Linked DNA regions of Tribolium castaneum. The protein of the gene in region 2 purifies or fractionates together with the protein of the main gene of each other region. This does not show direct contact. Links are inferred from orthologs where the notes say so. Each region holds a gene or a part of one and is shown on either strand. Other genes may lie near its edges.

Evidence for each region. Proteins that work in one complex are often made in the same cells at the same time.
Region 1: the proteins of partitioning defective 3 homolog B (region 2) and RASSF8 purify together in Homo sapiens (affinity purification with mass spectrometry; 4 studies listed by BioGRID and IntAct, counting the BioPlex papers as one, with this or other methods). This does not show direct contact. The link is inferred for Tribolium castaneum from reciprocal best matches to the Homo sapiens genes PARD3 and RASSF8.

The regions. Positions count from the first base shown.
Region 1 is NC_087402.1:345,734-356,560, reverse strand, and holds RASSF8 (ras association domain-containing protein 8), read left to right. Parts: upstream 1-5,059; 5' UTR 5,060-5,256; intron 5,257-5,307; 5' UTR 5,308-5,313; coding exon 5,314-5,385; intron 5,386-5,437; coding exon 5,438-5,548; intron 5,549-5,599; coding exon 5,600-6,034; intron 6,035-6,083; coding exon 6,084-6,200; intron 6,201-6,246; coding exon 6,247-6,561; intron 6,562-6,605; coding exon 6,606-6,833; 3' UTR 6,834-7,134; downstream 7,135-10,827. Other genes in the region: slit homolog 1 protein, read right to left, coding at 1-259; organic solute transporter alpha-like protein, read left to right, coding at 1,356-1,425, 1,940-2,091, 2,140-2,378, 2,428-2,524, 2,576-2,831, 2,880-3,127; thymidylate synthase, read right to left, coding at 3,297-3,506, 3,556-4,330, 4,378-4,385; inhibitor of growth protein 1, read right to left, coding at 7,360-7,910, 7,960-8,169, 8,220-8,355.
Region 2 is NC_087395.1:16,312,158-16,321,490, forward strand, and holds the end of partitioning defective 3 homolog B, read right to left. Parts: intron 8,312-9,333; coding exon 8,160-8,311; intron 8,108-8,159; coding exon 7,788-8,107; intron 7,719-7,787; coding exon 7,650-7,718; intron 7,594-7,649; coding exon 7,508-7,593; intron 4,914-7,507; coding exon 4,766-4,913; intron 4,716-4,765; coding exon 4,120-4,715; intron 4,076-4,119; coding exon 3,969-4,075; intron 3,793-3,968; coding exon 3,709-3,792; intron 1,687-3,708; coding exon 1,392-1,686; 3' UTR 1,220-1,391; downstream 1-1,219. UniProt on the Homo sapiens protein: Adapter protein involved in asymmetrical cell division and cell polarization processes. Seems to play a central role in the formation of epithelial tight junctions. Targets the phosphatase PTEN to cell junctions.

The DNA.
Region 1 (10,827 bases), on a different chromosome or scaffold from region 2:
TTAAGGAGGTACTGTTTAGATAAATCTCTTTGACTTGGTCGCTTTTATCAAAGCTGAAATCGTCGATGTCGATTAATGTTATGGGGTTCCCCGAAAGGTCGATTATGACGGGGTTGTTATCCAGACTTTCGAAATAAGGCACGTACTCTAGACTTGACTGGACACAAGTTATTGAGTTTTGGGTGCAAGTACAACGGATGGGGCACCCGCCTTGGACTATGGTCACTACTTCCAAAATTAGAATTAAAAGCACAATCATTTTATCACCTGGAAAAAATTCACGATAAGGTTTTTTCACACAGCCACACGTGATAATTATTTTTTTAATCAATTCACAATCGTTTTCTTTGAAATTCAAGACAGTATTTCATTATTATAATTGAATAAATGGCTTTGTACTTACTTCAATTTTTGTGGCTTTTTCGGTGCGTTGGGAACCTAACTCGTTCCTTGAATTACGTACGATTTATCTTATCGATTCAAGTTATTGAAACTTGGATGGTGTTTACAGACTTTTAGATACCTGCGATGTTTCTAATCTTAAATGTTTACAAATCGATTTGATATATAGGTAGAAAAACGGTAAGATTTTTCTTAAAGTGGTGAGATAATATCTTTTCAGACGATAAGATATAATTTTTTCTTCTAATTGTGTTCATTATAATTAAAAGAGACGTAATTAATTAATTTAATAAGGATCACTGATTTTTTTTAATCAAACATGTTAAAAAAATCAAAATACAAAAGTAATAGCTAATAGTTAGATATTTAACAAACTAACTTGTTTAAACTTAAAGCAATAAACACTGAATTCTGTGATTACCTATCAGTTTTTGAGATTTGTTAAAAATATACTTTCATATACTGTAATAGCTTTAATGTGAAAAAAAAATTAACAAAAAAAGAAACAATTCGTCATTTAAATACAATTTTAATTGTACAATTTAATTTTTAATGAATTTTTCTTGTATTAACAGAAAATATTTCGAACAAAACGTGAGTTTAATTTTTTAACAAAACGTTTTCTGTGCATATTTATTTTTGCATATCTTGAATTTTGTCGGTGATAAAATGGCTTTCTTGTAAGGTCATTTCGCATAAATGTTGTGGTGCAGTCATTGACAAAGTTGCTCAATATTTAATGTAACTTTAAGAAAGTTGGCGTGCGACCCCCTCTTGTCTTTCAGTTGGTGGAATGTATACCTCAGTCCATTCATTGGCATGGTATTAGTAAAATTGCGTCAATAACACAGACATGCGACTTTAAATTTATACAAACTGTTGAATAAACCAACTAAAATGACAAAGAAAGTGAAATAATTATCGATAAGTGAGTGATAAGCAACGAAAAAAAAATGGATTTTTTCAACAAAAATTTAACGTGTGCCTCTTTGGATATACCATCAATCCCGGAATACCTATCAGGTAAAAATTCCAACAAACCATCCGGTCCACTTTTCCCCAAGACATTTCAAATAATAACAGGAACACACCATATTAATTACTGTACTGACCGTCATGATCCACATTTCGATTACGCAACACCCAAGAAACTGAAATTAAAACTTTTCTTTGACTTTTTTTGACTTTCACCTTGTTTTCTCTCCGGTCGTGCTACATATATCCGTTTTTTTCCTCCACATCTTCCACGTTACATAAATATTATTATGTAAAACGGGGAAAACACAAGATATCGCGAATCCGAAAAATGCAAACGTGTTGTGCAACTCTTAACCGGTCGTTTCTTTTAATAGATTTCCCCAAAATTGAGCAATCAAATATTGCACACACGCTATTCATTTACCCTTCTCCCATCCTTGACGAGTCGACCGACACGCTAAATTCAAAAATAACAATCGAGTTACTATGGAAACTGTCACTGGCAGTGCGACCAGTGGCGGGTTAATTTTTTTTTAATTAATTAAAATTTTTATTTCAGCCACAAATGTCTACGGGGTGACTCTAGTAACCCTGGGAACGTTGGCAGTTGTGTTAGTTTTAGTAATGTTCATCGATACTCTCCAATACATAATAAAAAATTCCTCGTCTCGAGTAAAAACATATTCAGCCTTCGTCATCGGTGTTTATCCGGTATATTTATACAAATGGTTTTTTTCAGACGAATAATTTTGGTTGTAGGTTGTAGCTCTAGTGACTTATTTTGCAATTTTGGTCCCTCGGGCCCACCTTTTAAGCGAAGCCATAACCCAGGGTGCTTTTATGGCAGGAATGTATCAATTATTTTGTCTTTTTGTGGCGTATTGTGGAGGCGAAGCCGAGCTAATTCGCAAAGTCAAACCCGGAAGTTTAAATTTGAGAGTAATGCCGTGTTGTTGTTGGCCTTGTTGCTTCTTTTTACCGCCGATTGAAGTCACAAAGTAAAGTTGTAATTCGATTAAAGCCAATCTTTACGATTTTTTTTTACAGGAATACAATTCAGCGGTTACGATTACTCGTTTTGCAATTACCAGTCGTTCAAGGATTGGTTTATTTGGTCCTTTTAGTGATGTGGGCCGAACGTGAGGTATTTAATCAAGAAACGCACAAACTGTTCGAACTATATTAAAAATTCCAGAGTTTGTATCAAGTCAATTACATGTACTTGCAGCCAGTGATAATAATTTCGATATTATTCGGGGTTTGGGGCATGGCGATGACAATCAACCTCCTTAAAGGCTTCCTAGGGGACGAATATTTAATGCCTTCGAAATTTATCGTCCTTCAGTTAGTCCTAGTTTTAGCAAAAATGCAAGGAGCTGCCACTAGAGGACTAGTTATGATTGATATTTTGCCGTGTCGACCACCAATAACACCGACAGTTTATGGAAATTGTAATTATTTTTTTATTGCCTCGTAATTATTACAATTTTTTCTTTTAGTAATTCATAATACACTAATGTTGGCTGAAATGGTTTTGTTGCAATTTGCGGCTAGAAAATTATACAAGAGAATTTTACCAGATTATGCAAGTGAAGGTGTTGGCACCATTAGTACCATAGGCGGTATAATGGCCTCTGACCTTATGAAAGATAATAATAACAGTAATTGTGAGAATTTGAATGTGAAGCTAGGTGTGAACAAGTGCAAAATGGGGCACTTTAACGTGGCGCTAGACATGCGAGAATAGTTTAAATAAAATGTTTTTGTTAAAATGATGTGTGTTATTAAAAAAAATAACGAAACAAAGTTTGTGACGACCTCTAGGACAGGATTTATGCGGAATAATATTTTCACAAAAATAAAAAAATGACGTATATTTGATAAACAGATAAGTACATTAAACACATATTTTTACTTCAAACAGCCATCGGCATACTCAATTTGGGATGGGGCTCGTACCCACTCAACTCAAAATCATCAAAAACAAAATCCTCAATACTGGAAACTTGTCTTTTGATTTTTAATGTTGGAAACGGCCTTGGTGTCCTCTTTAATTGTTCTTGCAACGGTTCGACATGATTCAAGTAGACATGACTGTCCCCTAACGTATGAATAAATTCCCCGGGCTAAAATAACTAACTAAAAAATTTGACGCAACTTTGAGCCAATAAAAACCTTCAATCCTGTAACATGTGCAATCATATACGTCAACAAGGAATAACTTGCAATATTGAACGGCACCCCCAGCCCCATATCAGCCGACCTTTGGTACAACAAACACGACAATTCCCCATTTGCCACAAAAAACTGCACGAGGCAGTGACAAGGCGGGAGGGCCATTTCGGGAATATCCACTGGATTCCACGCACACATTATGATTCTCCTATCGTTGGGTTTATTACGAATTGTTTCGATAACATGAGCCAATTGGTCAATCCCTTGATTGGCGTAATCCCAGTGCATCCCCTTGTACTCGGCCCCAAAGTGGCGCCACTGGAAACCATAAACCGGTCCCAGATCGCCCTCCTCGCGCTCATTGAGCCCCACAGAATCGAGAAACTCTCGTGTGCTGTTCGCATCCCAAATATGCACATTTTTCTCTTTTAATTCGTTTGCGTTCGTTGAGCCTTTGATGAACCAAAGCAACTCCTCAACGACTCCGCGCCAGAACACACGTTTCGTGGTCAACAGAGGGAAGACATTGTCGCGGAGGGAGTAGCGCATTTGGGCTCCAAAAATCGAAAAAGTGCCAACACCGGTGCGGTCACTTTTTTTTACACCCTTATCGATGATTAGTTTAATGTGGCTCAGGTATTGGTACTCTTCGTGTTCTTGCTCAAGGGGCAAACTACTGGTTTTGGTGTCGCGACACGTGTCTCCGATATTTAAGGGGTTATCAGAGATGTTTTCCTTGTTTGAGTCGTCGGTTTGGTTAGGTTTGATTGGAGAGCTAATGTGCGAATTTTGGTGGATTGTATGCGAAAATTCAATACTTACGATAACATTTTCACGGTTTAACAACACTAAACACACGGAAATTTAGAAAAAACACACACTAAACTTAGGATTTGATGCGGAACTTTCCCGCCAATTTGGACTAGTTGGCGTCGGTGCAGTAAAAAAGAATTTTTTTGGTTAGGTTTCCGCTTTAATTTTTTTTATTTTCACAAGTAATAGACAAAAAGAAAACTTACGCAAACATTTTCTCCAATTTTCCGTCACTAAACACTTGTAAACACTTGGAAAAGTTTAGGAATCAACACCAAAGCCCACGATTATTACGAGACTTTTCTTTCAATTTAAAACAAGTTGGCGGGTTTGATCAAATTAGGGATTTTTGGTCTTAGTGGTATGAAAAAATAATCAATAATCATAAATTTTCAGTCAAAGGTGAGAAATTCCACCTTTTTGACTGAAAAATCGGTGAAAAACCCGCAACTTAATAGTCTGTTAGGATTTTTCGTATTTGAGTTATCTTTTGGTTACGTTTCGATGACAATATTTCAAGAAGTTTACCGCTCAATAGACAAAAATGTGAGAAAATTGCAACTTACGCACATACTTTCCCCACTTTATCGGCACTAAACACTTGGAAAAGTCTAAAAATTGGCACAAAAAGACACAACTATTACGCGACTTTTCTTTCACTTTGAATCAAGTTGGCGGGTTTGGTGCTTTTGACCCGTTGGGTTGGTGGCAAGTGACAAGAGTAAAAAATATTTGACGTTTATAAATAAAAATAAATTGCACATTTTTGCCCCAAAACATGTAAAAAAATGCAAATTTTGAATAAACGTCGCTTTAATTTAGTTACGTAAACTCGGGGTTTGTTACCACCGTGCTTCGATTGATCAAAATGCCAAAACCTGGAATTAGGTGAGTGCGATAATTGTGTGAGGATAATTGTGAATAAAATAGTTTTTGTAGTGCAATATGGAGTTAAAAGTTTGGGTCGAGGGAATCCAACGGATAGTGTGTGGGGTGACTGAGACGACAACGTGTCAGGTACCCCCTGACGCCCCCCATTTGATAATTTCTCACACTTGTCAAATTGCAGGATGTAGTGTTTGCTTTAGCTCACGCCACGGGTAAGTCAGGCCGATTCACACTTATCGAACGGTGGAGGAACAACGAACGACAGTTGGCCCCCAATGAAAACCCCCTCAAGGTTTGTAAACCCACCCCCCAAAAAAAATTAAAAAAAATAATAAACACGCAGATTTTGATGAAATGGGGTGAGTACTCAAACGACGTCCAATTCATCCTCCAATGGAGCGAAAGCAAACCCATGACACCAACAACCAAACCAAAAACATCATCATCATCAGCTAATATCATAGTGGAATCACCACAAAAACACACCGAGAAGTCACAAGTAGGCGTTGTGAAAGGTGTACCGCATGTAAAAACACTACAAGTGCGCGAATCTCAAAATTCACCCAAAAAATCCGAATCTCCTAGTCATAGAATCCACCCACCGGCACCGCCCCCTTACCGCGATCCGCCGCCCCCCAAAAAAAATATCCTACAAGAGTCAAACAAAACACACAAATTACAGGAGTCTGTACTCTACAATGCCCAGTATAGGGAATTAATCGCGCTTATTAATTACCAGAGGGAGAAATTGTCCAATCAGCAAGCAGACCTAACAAAGGTGCCACAATTAATTTAATTAATTCTTATTAGAAATTATTTTTTTGTAGTTTGATGCCGAAATTGTGTTTTGGGAGAGTAAAGAACGGGAAAAACAAATGCAATTAGAATACATTTCGCAGGAAATTCTCGCAATGACTAATGCTACGAAATTAAATCAAGACCAGGTTTGTTTCAAATAATAAATTTTCAATAATAAAAAATTGTCCCTAGATTCAGGCATTGCATTACATTGAGGAAGAATGCGAAATAGTGAAACAGCAAGAGAAAACGCTCAAATCCGAAATAACTCTCTTGAGATCAAAGCTTGCAAATTGCGAAACTGAACTTTTGCAGTGCAAAAATAAAATTCGTTTAGTAATGGACGAGTTACAAATCGAACAAAGAGCTTTATCGCGTCGTTCTGAATCACGCAAACAAATGGAAAAAAGTCTCCTAGTCGAAATGGAGCGGTTACAGAGAGATATCGAGTTGGCAAAACAGAGCACTGAATTGCATCACCTGACTGCCGAAACGCTCAAAAAAGAAGTGAGTGGTTTTATCCCTCTGTTTGATAATTTATTGTTTTTTAGGTTGCCGCACTTGAGACGGCAATAATCGAAAAGAAAAAACAAGTGGAATTGCTTGTGACTGAAATGAAAGAGGCGAATTTACAAAGTTTGACTATAGCGCCACCTGAGGATTTACGAGCGATTTTGGAAGGTCCTAATAAGGGAAGTACCCGAAAAATGATTGGTTCGCCTCGACAATTGGAAAATGCTGTACCAACCAATAAAAACCCGCATGGAGTTTGGGTCTAATAAAATTGTAGTCATTTTGTTTAGCTTACCTCAGTCTAGGCGTGTTTGATTTTCAAGTCTGATAGTTTGTATTGACGCCATTTTAAATTATAAAAAGTGTTATTTATTGTTAGGTGATTGGATGATTTTTTACTTACACATTTTTGTTACTTTATTTTATTTTACACTGCCATATTGTGTGTAGTTGCATCACACAGGATTATGATAAAGAAATGATGTTAGATATATTTATTATTTTAAAATATTAAAATTATATTTAATTGCTATGTCGGAAATGTAAAATACACACAAAAATATTAAATTGCGTTTTTCTTCTTCTTTTTTCCCTTTAATTTAGAAATTGCAAGTTGGCGGGTTTGGAGGATTTAGGAATTTTTGGTTTTCTTTTATCAGGATTTTTCGAGGTTCCTGGTTAGGTTAACATTACCAGACACTGAGATGTTAGACATATTTATTATTTTAAAACATTCTATGAAATTATATTTAATTGCTATGTAAGAACTGTAAAATGCACACACCAATAAACTTATGTTTTCTCCTCTTTATCCTTATTATACTTTTCGAGTTCTCTTAAAAATTGCGCCTTGGGTTTCATAACATTGGGTCTATCACCTCTACACTTTGGACAATACCATTTACCTTTCGGTTTGGTGGTTAAAGTAACGCAAGAAAAGTGGAACCACTCGATTGGACACAAATCATTGTCGCACATAATCATTTCACCGTAAGAAATTTGATCACAGAGACAATAAGTGGGCTCATCGGGATCAATAATCGGCTCTTCCTCCCTTGGCGGAGATTCCTCTCTCTGTGCTTGCACTTGCTTCGATTTGCGCTTCTTCTTCTTCCCAGTCCCACTCTTCTTCGTCGAGTTGGCCGTGGACGGCACCTGGCTCCTCAAAACGTGCTCCACTGGGGCTGAATCATTATGATTCGACTCCAAGCCTGAGAAAGTGTCATGACGGGTGCGCCGCGCCCTCTTTGGAGGCCTCTCGACCAAACCCGCACTACTGCTGTTGTTATTAGGGGGCTGTTGCTCCTTGTTTTCGAGTTGAGTCGTCTCGTCTTTACCAAAATCTAGCAATCGCGTTTGACATGGTGTAAATTAAAAAAATACGAAAAGTACCTAAATTTTTGAAGTCCTGGTCCAACAAGCGCGTCTTGATCTCAATCTTGTCCAGAATTGACTGCAAGAGGTTCATTTTCTCGTCGCCCAGTTCCTGGGCTGCGATCAGGGCTTGCTGCATGCGGGCGAAGCCCCGGGCCTTTTTGGCGGGGTTATCGTTACCGATTTTTTTCCAGTTCTCGGTCTGGTATGCGGCTTCACGCACGCGGGCTGAAAGGGCGGCTTGAGGCCGGTTTTTGGATGAAAATAGCAAAGTTTACCCAAGTAACAGACGTCGAGTTCTCGCATCCTGGAGATTAGGCGTTGGAGTTCATCGGGGAGGTTCTCAACGCAATCCAAATAGTTCTCTACGTACGTGGCGGAATAAACGGCCTCGACGGACACTTGGTTCAACATGATTTTCAACGGGGAAAGTTACAAAAAGGTTAAAGGTTTACTTCAGCTTCACATATTTCAAACATAAGCCACCATTTTTGACATCAATCGCTGTTTACCGATTTTCACGGAGAAAAAAACCCCAGGACGGATACGCGCCAAACTCAATTTTTTACACGACCATTTTGTCTAAGGCCTAACTGCACCGGTTCTGCTTAATAAATAATCAAAAAAACTAAATTCTTGCCAAATTTCGTCTTTGATCTCCTAAAAAAATCACTAAATTTGTGTAATAATAAAAAAATTATCACAAATTTAACTTTTTTTTTGCACAAAAACTACTAAATTCAGCTCACCACTGCATTATTTTCAAGGTTTCAGTGCATTTTTCAGTCTGAAACTCACTTATTTTGCAAAATTCAAAATAAAAAATTATCGAATTGGGCCGCAAAAGACAATTTTTTCCATTTTCAAAGAGTTTCAGCACTTTTTCGTTAAGGAGCAAGAAAAAATTATGTTACTCTGTTATTAATTATTACCATCAACCACTTGCGGGAATCAAATGTACCACAAAAATTAATTTATATTAACTAAAGTTTAATGTTCTCTTGCATAAAATATTGATGCACAAATGCTCATACAAAGTATGAGTTTTAATAATAGGAGTTTTATTGGAACTAAAATGATTTTTATCTCCCAAGTTTTAACATGCATGTGAATAAAAAGTTAAACATGCAAAAAAGTGAGCATTCCATGTTTTAAATTTAAAAATAATGTTCCTAAACTTTAGGTCCGTTCAGTAAATATAAATTAAAAAAATGTAATTTTGGGGCTACACTCAACACCCCAGTTGTTGGCAAATAAATAGAAGAAAATAAATTTAAAAAAACAAGCATGGTCAATGTCTGCGAGATATTAGAGCTAAACCCGGCGCCTCCGCCATAAAGACACGACGAATAATTTCCAATTTCCGTCGAAATTTTCGCAACTTGTCAGTATTCCGGACAGAAGAATGTCTCTAGTAACCTTAAAAATGTCGACACAAGGCGGACGTTTCAAATAAATCAGGCTCAAGTCATAAAGAAAAATCCTTTTGTAGGAAACGTCCGATTTAATCTTTTGTGGCTTTATTGAACTTAATGAAAAGTTGCAATTAATTTCTTAAGTTTGAAACGTGACGCTTGAGCTAATTCCAGTCGGTCAGCGAAATCTGAAGTCGTAATAGCTGGTTTGCGCTAAATAAATCAAAATATTGTAACAATATAATTATGGAGGAAACGTGGGAGCAGCCAATGGTGGTGGCCCAACCCCCTCCAACACATGTAGGCGCCTTGGAAGGATAAAGAGTTTCAGCAACATCCTGAAACGCCTGTTGATCTGCAACCAGTTGTGTTAGAGGCCCAAGGAATTTTAGCAACTTGTAAGTTTCATGTTTTCGATGTTTGACCAAAAATCAATTGCCATTCGTGAAGTGAAGAATAATTAGGCGAAAAACGTGGGGAAAATAACTTGAAGAAAACGCGACAGCGTCATAAATCTTAAGTCTTTAGCAGCTTGTTTTACTTTAATTTAGTTCCCATAGAAAAATGATCGATTAAAATTAATTGAAATCCTTTGAGTGACTGTTGAATGAATTTTCTAAACAGCGTTTATTGTTACACTGTTTGAAGTTTACTCAAAATTGACCGAAAAAACCCGGAATTTAATTACTCTTTTGTTAAACTTGAATTTAAAAATAACAAAAACATAAATATGTAATGTTTAAAGACTCGTTTGCATTTTTATTAAAAAACTTCAGTAAAATATGCTGAAAATATTTTTTGTTTTCATTAAAACCATTTTTCGTGACTAATTGTGTTGACACGATTTTTATATGCAATACAAACATTACGTTTTCAAATAAAAAAACTATTTCCGAAAACAGATCATTATTTATTTGTAACAGAATGCTCCCCAGTGCAGTCTCTCATTATGCAACAAAACACAAAGGTGATCAAATAAATAGCGCAATTTTCTCCGTAAAATAATTGCCGATTAATAAAAATAACTATTTTTTGCTCGAAATTTTATTCAGTATTTGCGAAGCCTCAAGTGTTATTTGTTCACCAAAAGAGAATAATTTCTTGGTTAAAATAAATACACACTCATGTGCTTTGTTGACTTTCAAACGTGAAATTGAATTCATTAATAAAACCAACGGTTTGAATCATTGAAACGCACAAAAAACACATTCCTCATAATTTGCCTTTGGGGCAAACCCAACTGTTCATTCGTTCAAATTAGATTAAAACCTAATCTTGGAATTATGAGGGAAGTTGGAGGAGCAATAAAACACACCATTGCACTGTTATATTATTTTAACAAAAAAGACTTTCGGGCAAATAATCCAAAATGCTGCGAATGATTTTAATAAAAAGGAAGGCCAGATTTACAACTGCCACAACAAAACGGGTGATTACAACAATCACACTTTCCCTGATTGCGAAAATGAAG
Region 2 (9,333 bases):
CGTTATCGGCGTCCAGATGCGTGATAAACCGTAGATAAGCTTACTAGGCCGCCTGCATTTTTCCGAGCTAGGTTCATGCCTTATTTGGGTTAGTCTACGTCATGGTAGAGTTAGAAAGAAGAAGACTGTAAAATGCTGGACATTACACTAGTCATGTGACCACGTGTTAATCTGTGATCAGAGCTTCAATGACATAAACGCTGGACTGTTTAATCATAGATTTCATATTGTATGTGATCTGTTTATGATAATTTTGTAACTCCTAGGCCGCGTCGCAAGAATCTGTTGAATCGTTTCGTTTCGTTTCTGTCAATACTCGTCGCAAATGCATTATTGTTTGCCCCTTGAGACTGATGATGTACTAATTAAGGAGAAATTGTGAATAGTGGTAGTCGTGCAGGACAGGACCAATGTGGAAGGTTAGTGTCGTTGGGAACTAGCATTTACGTCAGCTTTTGTTTCGTCAACGAATTTTTTCGGGCCTAAATTCTGTTGTTTGCGACTGACGTGAATGGCGAGTTGGGTCAGTGGAGGGATTGTAAATAGGGTAATTCTAACAAGTGTATGAAATTGTAGATATTGGATTTTTTATTGAGGAAATTAGAGTAAGGATTATTTATTTCTGTTAGAGGTCCCGTGTGATAATTCGCTCAAAGTTCTGGATGATGGCTAACCTGTGTAGGTTGATAGTCGGTTCGCTTGCCCATCCGATTCCAGTACAGCCGCAGCAGTCTTTCCGTTAACTAAACCAATGTTCACACTCACAGCTTCTTCACCGTAACCTCTTGAGAAACACATTCAGATTACTGTTCTTCCCTAGAGACCGAACACACGTGCAGAGTTTTTATTTGTGGACATCCATACGTATTTCGCTGTTAGTGATATTATAGACTATGATTTTTTATACTTATTTATTTCTCATTTGTTACCCATACCCATCGGTTCGCATTGCCATCATGAATTAGCTTGTTTATGATTTAGGTTAGTCATGCCTCTGCATGTTGTTCATTATTATTGCTCACATTGAGCAAGTGTATATCAAATTCTATATTGAATGCTACGGAGACTTTGCATTTCAAGCTCCCGCCAAACACCTCAGCGCTGGCTCTCGAGTGCTCGCCACTCCCTCAATTACATAATTTCATTTAAGTTGTGTTTATTTGTATTGTAATATCACCATTCTTTATTGTATACCTTATTTAAATAAAGATGCAATACGGACAATTTTGTAACTGTATTTCTTGTTTGTATAAAATTCACTTTCTTATTATACATATCATAAATTATTTACAATATAAAATAAAGCTCGTATATACAGATAAAATGGACGCGGCGCTGAAACAGTTTCATAATACTGATGATACAAATCACAAAAAACAGTTTCAACACCTTTACACTTTAGTCCCGTTCTGTTGGCTATCGCCGATAGTCACGTGGGTCACAAAAGGCCCTCTGTGGTTACGGTTCGGGTGCCGGCCTTGAACGGGTGGTTGGCCTTGCCGAGGGAGGGAATTGGAGTTCACGTCTTGGTACATCACAGGCGGGTTACTATGGGGCACCGGGGGGTTCCCCCGACGGTTGTTAAGCATCGACTGGATACTCTCGTACTCGTAGAAGTTCGACACGGGACGAAGCTGGTTGTCGGTGCGGGTCTGGCGCTGGGAGTGGTACTGGTGCTGCTTTCGACTGATAAAAAATGTGACGTCACTAATTTAAAATTACAAACACTTTTTTTAAGTGTAAGGCCAAAGAGGACAAAACTTAAAATCTAAAAGACAAATATTTATTTAATTATTACAGTATTTGCCGCGAGTGTAAGAAAAGCGGAAATACAGAGTGATCTAAAGAGACTGTTTCACACTGCAACTAAATACAGTTTTCCAATACTTTTTAATTGAAGCTATTCTTTTGTAATCAAAAGATAAATGGTTTAAACACATTCGACAGTGGATAGCTATTGAACTCATATTAGTAGGATATGAAGCGTAAACTATTTCTTCTATTGTTTTTTTTGAAAAGACGTAGTTTGATCTACATGTCATATAAATAAATTGTAGTACCACCAGTGGAAATAAAATGTTTGTTAAAAAAAAGAAAACATCGATAGACTGAGTCAATAGTCGGTTAGTTCTGAATTTTTTAAATATGCAACCAACAATACTGATTTAATTAATGTTTTGAAAAATCAAACAAAGTATCCAAGTAGGAAGTGCAATTAGTATTTTTGGTTGCATCTTAGGACATGTCAGAAATAACCCACTATTGACTCACCCTGTATACGCAAGTGATAATCTGAACTATGTCACAGGAACTGTTGTATTATTTGGTATCTTATTTTTTTTCGAAGTCTTCAACAATTCTAAGACCGAAGGTAAGTTTGTATCTTGCTATTTCATGTATTTTATTTGAATTTTTTACACTGACGGCAATCAGTCAATCTCCAGTAACTATAAAATTTATATTTTGCGCATTTTCATTTTAGGAAAATTTATTTTTGAACTCCTACTGAAAGCACAACAGAAAGGTAGCATAGTTACCTTTTTCGTTTTTCTTTTTGTGAATGAAGTTATTAAACAGGGGTGTCCAAATGATCAAGAAAATAGCATTATATTAGAAAGTGAAGTAAGCCCAAAAATCATAGTACTTCGGAATGAAAGAATAAAGAATACAGAGACTAATATTACACAGCAAGAAAAATCTAGTCAGCTGTGAATACACAATTACTTAGCCCATCCAAAAACTTCTGAAAAAAAAAAGGACCAACAAAAGAAGATACGAATTGAAAAAGACATCGAAAGAGGAAATTAAACAACAGAAATCTGTATAATTAAAAATTATTTGCTCAATCTGCCTAAAAGAAATACAAGGAAGGTTATTCCTAACATTTGTGAAGTATGAACACTTCTTTCACAACCGTTGTGTTCCCAGATGTCACAAGGAACACATTATCGATGATGAAAATCAAGACTTACAGCATCCCTATTATAGGGATGACAATAGTGAATGTTGGCTGGATAAGTTAATATATGTCGATGAGGAAGAAATAGAAGCAAAAAGTGATAAAACTAACGAAGAAGAAAAAAAAACTGATAAAGGACAAAATGACTAAGAGTGATCGTGATCGAGATGATTTATATGACGTGAATTATTAATTAAGCATTAGATTTGATTTGGAACTTTGTTGGAAATTAAACAAACTTTGATTTTACTTCTACTTTTGTCATGCAAATCAAGGCATCTCGGGACAGGTCCATAACTATAATTTTTCCACTTAATAAATAAAAATGCTGAGGAAAAAAATTGAATGCAGGTTGTAACATTCTATAATAATTCGCATTTTCTGCACATTTCAATCTTTACTTTGGAATTACGCAATTATCTATATCTTTATTCTGAAGGCGGTAATGATTTTTCCAGTTGAGAATTTTGCTTAACTGTTCAATAACTGTGCACTTTACCCTAATAAACACGTTGGATGTAGAAAAACAATGTTTTTGTGATCAGACATGGCGCCATCTGTTGGGTAAAAACAGGTCCCCTTTGGCCTTAAAACTCGAGGACTAGGTTGCATGCATCACATTTTCAGACGTTATTCAAGTGTTAATTTTTTGGAACAAGAGTCACGTTACACAATCACCGGCAAGCGTGCATGCAATTTAAAAAATTAGTCGCAAAGCTCAAGAGTGTGTAAAGGGAAAAAGTGCATACCTTTCTTCCTCCACCTTTAACCTTTGCTGTTGAACTTGCAGACGCATCTGAACTATCTGACTGTCAGATAGTGGATCTTTACGGCTGCGTGGACAAAATACAATTATGACAATGACAACACATAAACATCATAACATAAAAAACAGAACGTTATGTCATGCAACAAATCAGAGTTAGTAACAAATGAAATGTGCACAACGTAGACACTGAGAGGGGCCCAATATTTCCATAACCTTTGACTTATTTTGATGGGGGCTTACCTTAGGTGGTTTTGCAGCTCGTTGTAGTTGACGTAGTGGGTGAAAGGGACCGAATCGGTGATTCCCGACCGGCTGCCAGGCCTGCCACCGTACTCCCCGAAATTCCCCTAAAAAAATTATTATTTTTTGCTTTTTCTCCAGAGTTACATACTTGTTGTCCATAGATCGGCTCTCTCTCATCCGACTGGTAGTAAGTGTGTCTTACTCTATGGTCGTGAATTTTCCGCCTCTGCCCTTGCTGATCAACGGTGACGTGATTCCGGTACTTGATAGGTGGCGCCACCGAATTCTCCGGAATCACTTGGACCTGTTCAGCATGTCGGTGCACAAAACCGTGCCTCTGATACAACGGCTCTCTCTGCTGTTGCATCATTTGTTGCACACGTTGTTGCTGCTGCTGTTGATGTTGTTGTTGTTGTTGTTCCTGGGTAGAATTCTCATGTTGTTGTTGTTGCTGTTGGTAATTCTGTTCCGCTTGTTGTTGATTGTTATTAACATTGGGGTCAAACTCATTGGTCGGATGGTAGTGTTGTATATCAATGTTGGCAAATTCCATTTTCCGGTGTTTTCCAAACCGGAACATTGAACCGATGCCTTTCAACAAACTCGGTTTCTTTTTTCCCGCCTTGTGTTTACTGTCAAGGGCCGCATTAAGGGAGGATTGACGTGGGGCCCCTCTCACGTTGTTAAAACCGTCAACTTCGCGCTCTTCCATTGGGCCGTCGAGCAACCAGTGTTTCTTTGCGCCTGAAAATCAACCAATTAGAAAAACAAAAGGGTAATTTGATATGAATTACTTATTTCCGATTGGTGGTTCGGGTCGACGATGTGTTTGTCCACAGCGGCCCTAAAGCTCTCCTCACAGCCCCGTCCTCGTATCACTTTAAGGGCGCCCGAAGGGCCCCTGTAGCTGTAAGCCGGGTCGCCCTCTTCCTGCATCTGAATCTGAAAAAAATGCAAATCAGAGTTGGATCACAATTGAAGATTGAATTAAACTCAAAAAAATTAAAAGAAAAAACTTCAACTCTCGCTCGCAGCCACAAAAAATGTGGTAACACAATTGGGGTCCTCTATAACTATAAAAATTACTAAATTGTTGGTAAACCAATAAACAAGCTATAGAGAATATTAATGCATAATTAATAATAATAACAATAATAATAATAATAATAATACGAATAATAGTAACAATAAAAATAATAAAAAAGGGCCTTTATTGAATAAATTTAAACAATAAGAACAGATGGGAAAGCGAAGTCTAGCTTGAAGTTATTCAACTTAACCTCGAAGAAAAAAATGAAATTAATAAAAAATATATAAAAAATTAAAATAAACTTTATAAATAATCTTGAAATGAAAAAATACTTAAAAACTAAAAGAAAAACCATTGTCAGTCTCTTAATAAGTAAGAAATTAGAAAGAATTCTTTAAGATGAGAGGCAAAAAATGATCAGAAAAAAACTTTTGCATTTATTATCAACAAACAGCCAATTCAGTTGAGCAAACTTAATTATTAAAAACAAATTTTTAGTTTTACTCTTTATTGTAAACACTGACTCCAGAATAAAAAATTTCCATGTATGTATATGTTGTATCTCTAACGTAAATTTTTTTAGAATTATTTCTTTATGATTGAGTGTTTCTAACGTAGAATGACCGGCGGAATCCAAATTTGCAAGAATCAGATCGCTACGACTAACCGTTCGGCAGATATCGTCAAAAATATGGTCTCGTTACAAAAATGTCAACTAAACTTACATCATCATCTGTTAATTTTTTGGAATTATTTTTTTATAATTAAGTGTTCCTAACGTAGAATGACCGGCGGAATCCAAATTTGCAAGAACCAGATCGCCACGACTAACCGTTCGGAAGATATCGTCAAAAATATGATTTCGTTACAAAAATGTCTCAACTAAGCTTACATCATTATATGTAAATTTTTGGAAATTATTTCTTTATGATTGAGTGTTTCTAACGTAAAATGACCGGCGGAATACAAATTTGCAAAAATCAAGTCGCTACGACTAACCGTTCGGAAAATATCGTCAAAAATATAGCCTCGTTACAAAAAGTCTCAACTAAACTTACGTCATAATCTGTCAATTTTTTGGAGTTAGTTTCTTATTATTCGGAAGTAAAATTATCGTTGGGGGCGCCACTGAACTAGGTCGAAAACAGTAACCATAAATAGCGGGAAAATGTTTATTCGGATATTTTGAGCGTTGTACGAATTTTGAGGCTTCCCAATTATTGCATTGCCTATGCGGAATGACTATTGTGTCTTTGGTGCAAGAAACAAATGTTGACAAATTAGTGATGACGAGGAAAACACGAATAAGGAATGACTGTTTAGTTCACTTTCTTTATTGGAAAATTATTACAAAGACATTGAAAAGCCTACATTTTGGAACAATTTATGCTTAAATGAATCAGCAGTTGTTAATCTTAATTGTAGTTTTGTAGACTTACCAAAGTATTTCATGAGTTTGTCAGTGGAAAATTCTAACCTAAAATTCACACACTTTACTAATTTATTGGTTTCTTGAGCCCAACTTTGTGTTCACTGTGATCCATTATTTACAGTCTGCAATTAGACAACTGTTTAATAACACTTTGTAATCAAATTTTAATTTTTTTTCACTTTTTATCCACTTTCAAATTCCAACAATTAACACTTTATACCGCAGACCAAGATCAAAACTAGTATTTACCACCACGTACAAAAGTACGTGATACTCTCTAATATAAGTATATAACACTATAGACGCAAAATTGTTAAACAATTCGTTAAATGTCAGTTAAATGTGGAATTACGAAAATTTCGTTACTGTTTTCAACATAGTTCAAAAGTCATCACCAGAGGGCGTCTAGTTAATTTTATTTCCGAATTGAGTTCAAACTATGTTATATGTGAATGATCAGATAGAGAGATGTCGATGTTAAGAATAAGCGAAAAATAAATGCAGACAAATGACATGAAAAAAGCTTATCAATTTTTAACCAACCTAGGTCTTTAATTTTTTTCTGATACATGATAATCATGCTTCTTCAAACCAAAAATAAAGCGGTAGCAATTGTTTTGAATTTTTTGCAGACGACAGATGTTTGTTGTTTGTCATAATAATGAGTCCATAATTTATAAACGAAAGCACAAGGGTTGAAAGTTTTTTCCGAAGTTTAAAATTTAAGATATTATAATTTAAAGTACAGAAGTTCGAGAGCAACATTAACATTTTTTAAAAACAGATGTGAGATAACACATAATTAGTAAATCTTAAAATCCTTAGGGAAGACTTTGATTATGAATTTTCAGCAGTAAGAGAATGACTTGGAGCAAAATTCATTTGCAAATGTCTGTCTTCTGCAAAAGTTTGTACCTTTGTACCTTTAGCTAGGTTTAAAAGTTCAGCTGTATATAATATATTACAAGTAAGATAGGTTCCAAAATGACCCATTTCCATTCTTTCATTCAGTTTAGAAAAAATTGGGTATTCAAATTTAATGATAGTAAAACAATATAAATAAAAGTGACTTACTTCTTGCACCATCGTTTGTAGCGACTCAAGACTAGACGACTTCTTCATCCCTAACGAAGGTCCCAATTGGCCCAACTTGTCCGCATCTGCCAAAACAACCAATCAAAACCCACACACACAAACGACAAGACTCAAGTCTTACATTCAGGATGTTCAGATGACCGATTAACACTTATAACAGACTCCACTGACCCAACTCTGACTAAGTTAGCTACAGAATGAATGAAAAATCAATTAGCACAAACACAAATGGTTTTGGTTAGCACACAACTAAACTTACTGTTACCATCCTTACTTTTTCTCTCTTCGCGTAGTTTCTTCGTCCGTTGGTAAGTATCGGTGTTTTTCGCGTCCAGAGTTGCGTGCCGCTTCTCCGACATGCTCTGTCTCCCGAACGCATCCCGGGAGAATCCTTGGGGATTCTCGAGGGATAATTGGCTGGCATAGGTCGCGTCTGTGCCTTGAATGGTGGTTTGGGAGTTGGAATCGGTGCTTTTGTTATCCGAAACCGTCGCTTTCCCGTCGGGTTCGTGCTCGTTGCGGTTTTCGGGAATACTGCCGTTGGATAAGTTCATCTTGTTGGTCATGTGGACGTTGATTCTGCAAGCACGAACGTAGCGAGTGACTCAAAGGGGGAAACAAGAACACAAACCGAGAGTTTTGATGCGTTAGGACCCTCGATCCGTACTCGTCCTCGATCAGGATTGGCTCAGCTGGGGCCACACTTAGGGTGGTGCTGGTCATGTTGCCGTAGGAGTTGTTAGCGGAGGCCAACATGCTGTTGCTCCAAGTGTCGTGTGTTGCCTAATTTTTTGTTTTATTAATTTTTTGTTAAAAATACGGATATTTAAGGGTTAGGATATGAAACTACGTACAAATAAAACTTTACCTTCTTGATTCATTAAGTCATTCGTAAGTTTTCAGAGCGATTAATTTGAAAAAATTGTTGTGGTGATATATAGTGTGAGGAAATTTTATGGGGTGGCCATGAGGCCACAAACGATCAGCTGACTCGTCGTAGCGCTCTCGCGATGTTCATATTTATCGATGAAATGGTCCGTTATAGCGCGTGCATTGGCGTAGTTTACTAGGGGTTTATACAATTAATGTTACCGGTTGATTCGTCAGAAACGTTACGATTTGCATATTTTTTTAAAAAGGACTTTAAAGAAGGATTATTTAGTTATCTACAAAATGTGCTCGAGGTGAAATCGCAACGTATTTCCCTTTGAAACGTGGTGTGGTTGAAAACATTTCAAGGGCTAAAAATGATAAATAATTAAAAAAATATTAATGTCACACCAAAGAATACTTTGAAATGAATTACAATTTCGTAATTTAGTTCTACTGGGTCATTTTTATGCTTTTTAAATAAGTACATGAGATAAAAATGTTCTTTTGACTTTTTAGATATTATTAAAATTAACAGAGAGTTAGGGCGGTTAAAAGTAAAGGTATAATATTAATAGATAAGTGACATTAATTATTTTTTAATTATTTACGAATTACGATTTTTAGCTCTCGAAATGTTATCAAAGGCGATGAACACGCTTCAGAGGGAAATACGGTTCGGTTTCACCTCAGGCGCATTTTGCAGTAATTTTAAATTGCAATAACTTGGTGAGTCTTACAGATAACGAAATGATTCTTGCACCAAAAATTTATTTCAAGTATTAGCTTTATTTCGTCTCGATTATGTGGGAGTCTATCTTTTAAATTAAAAAACTTTCTCGCATCTCGAAAATTTCACTTCAATTATGCAACGTTACAAGAAAATGTAATTTTTTTGGTTTCCCTTTATCAAAACTCAACCTTGTTAAACTACG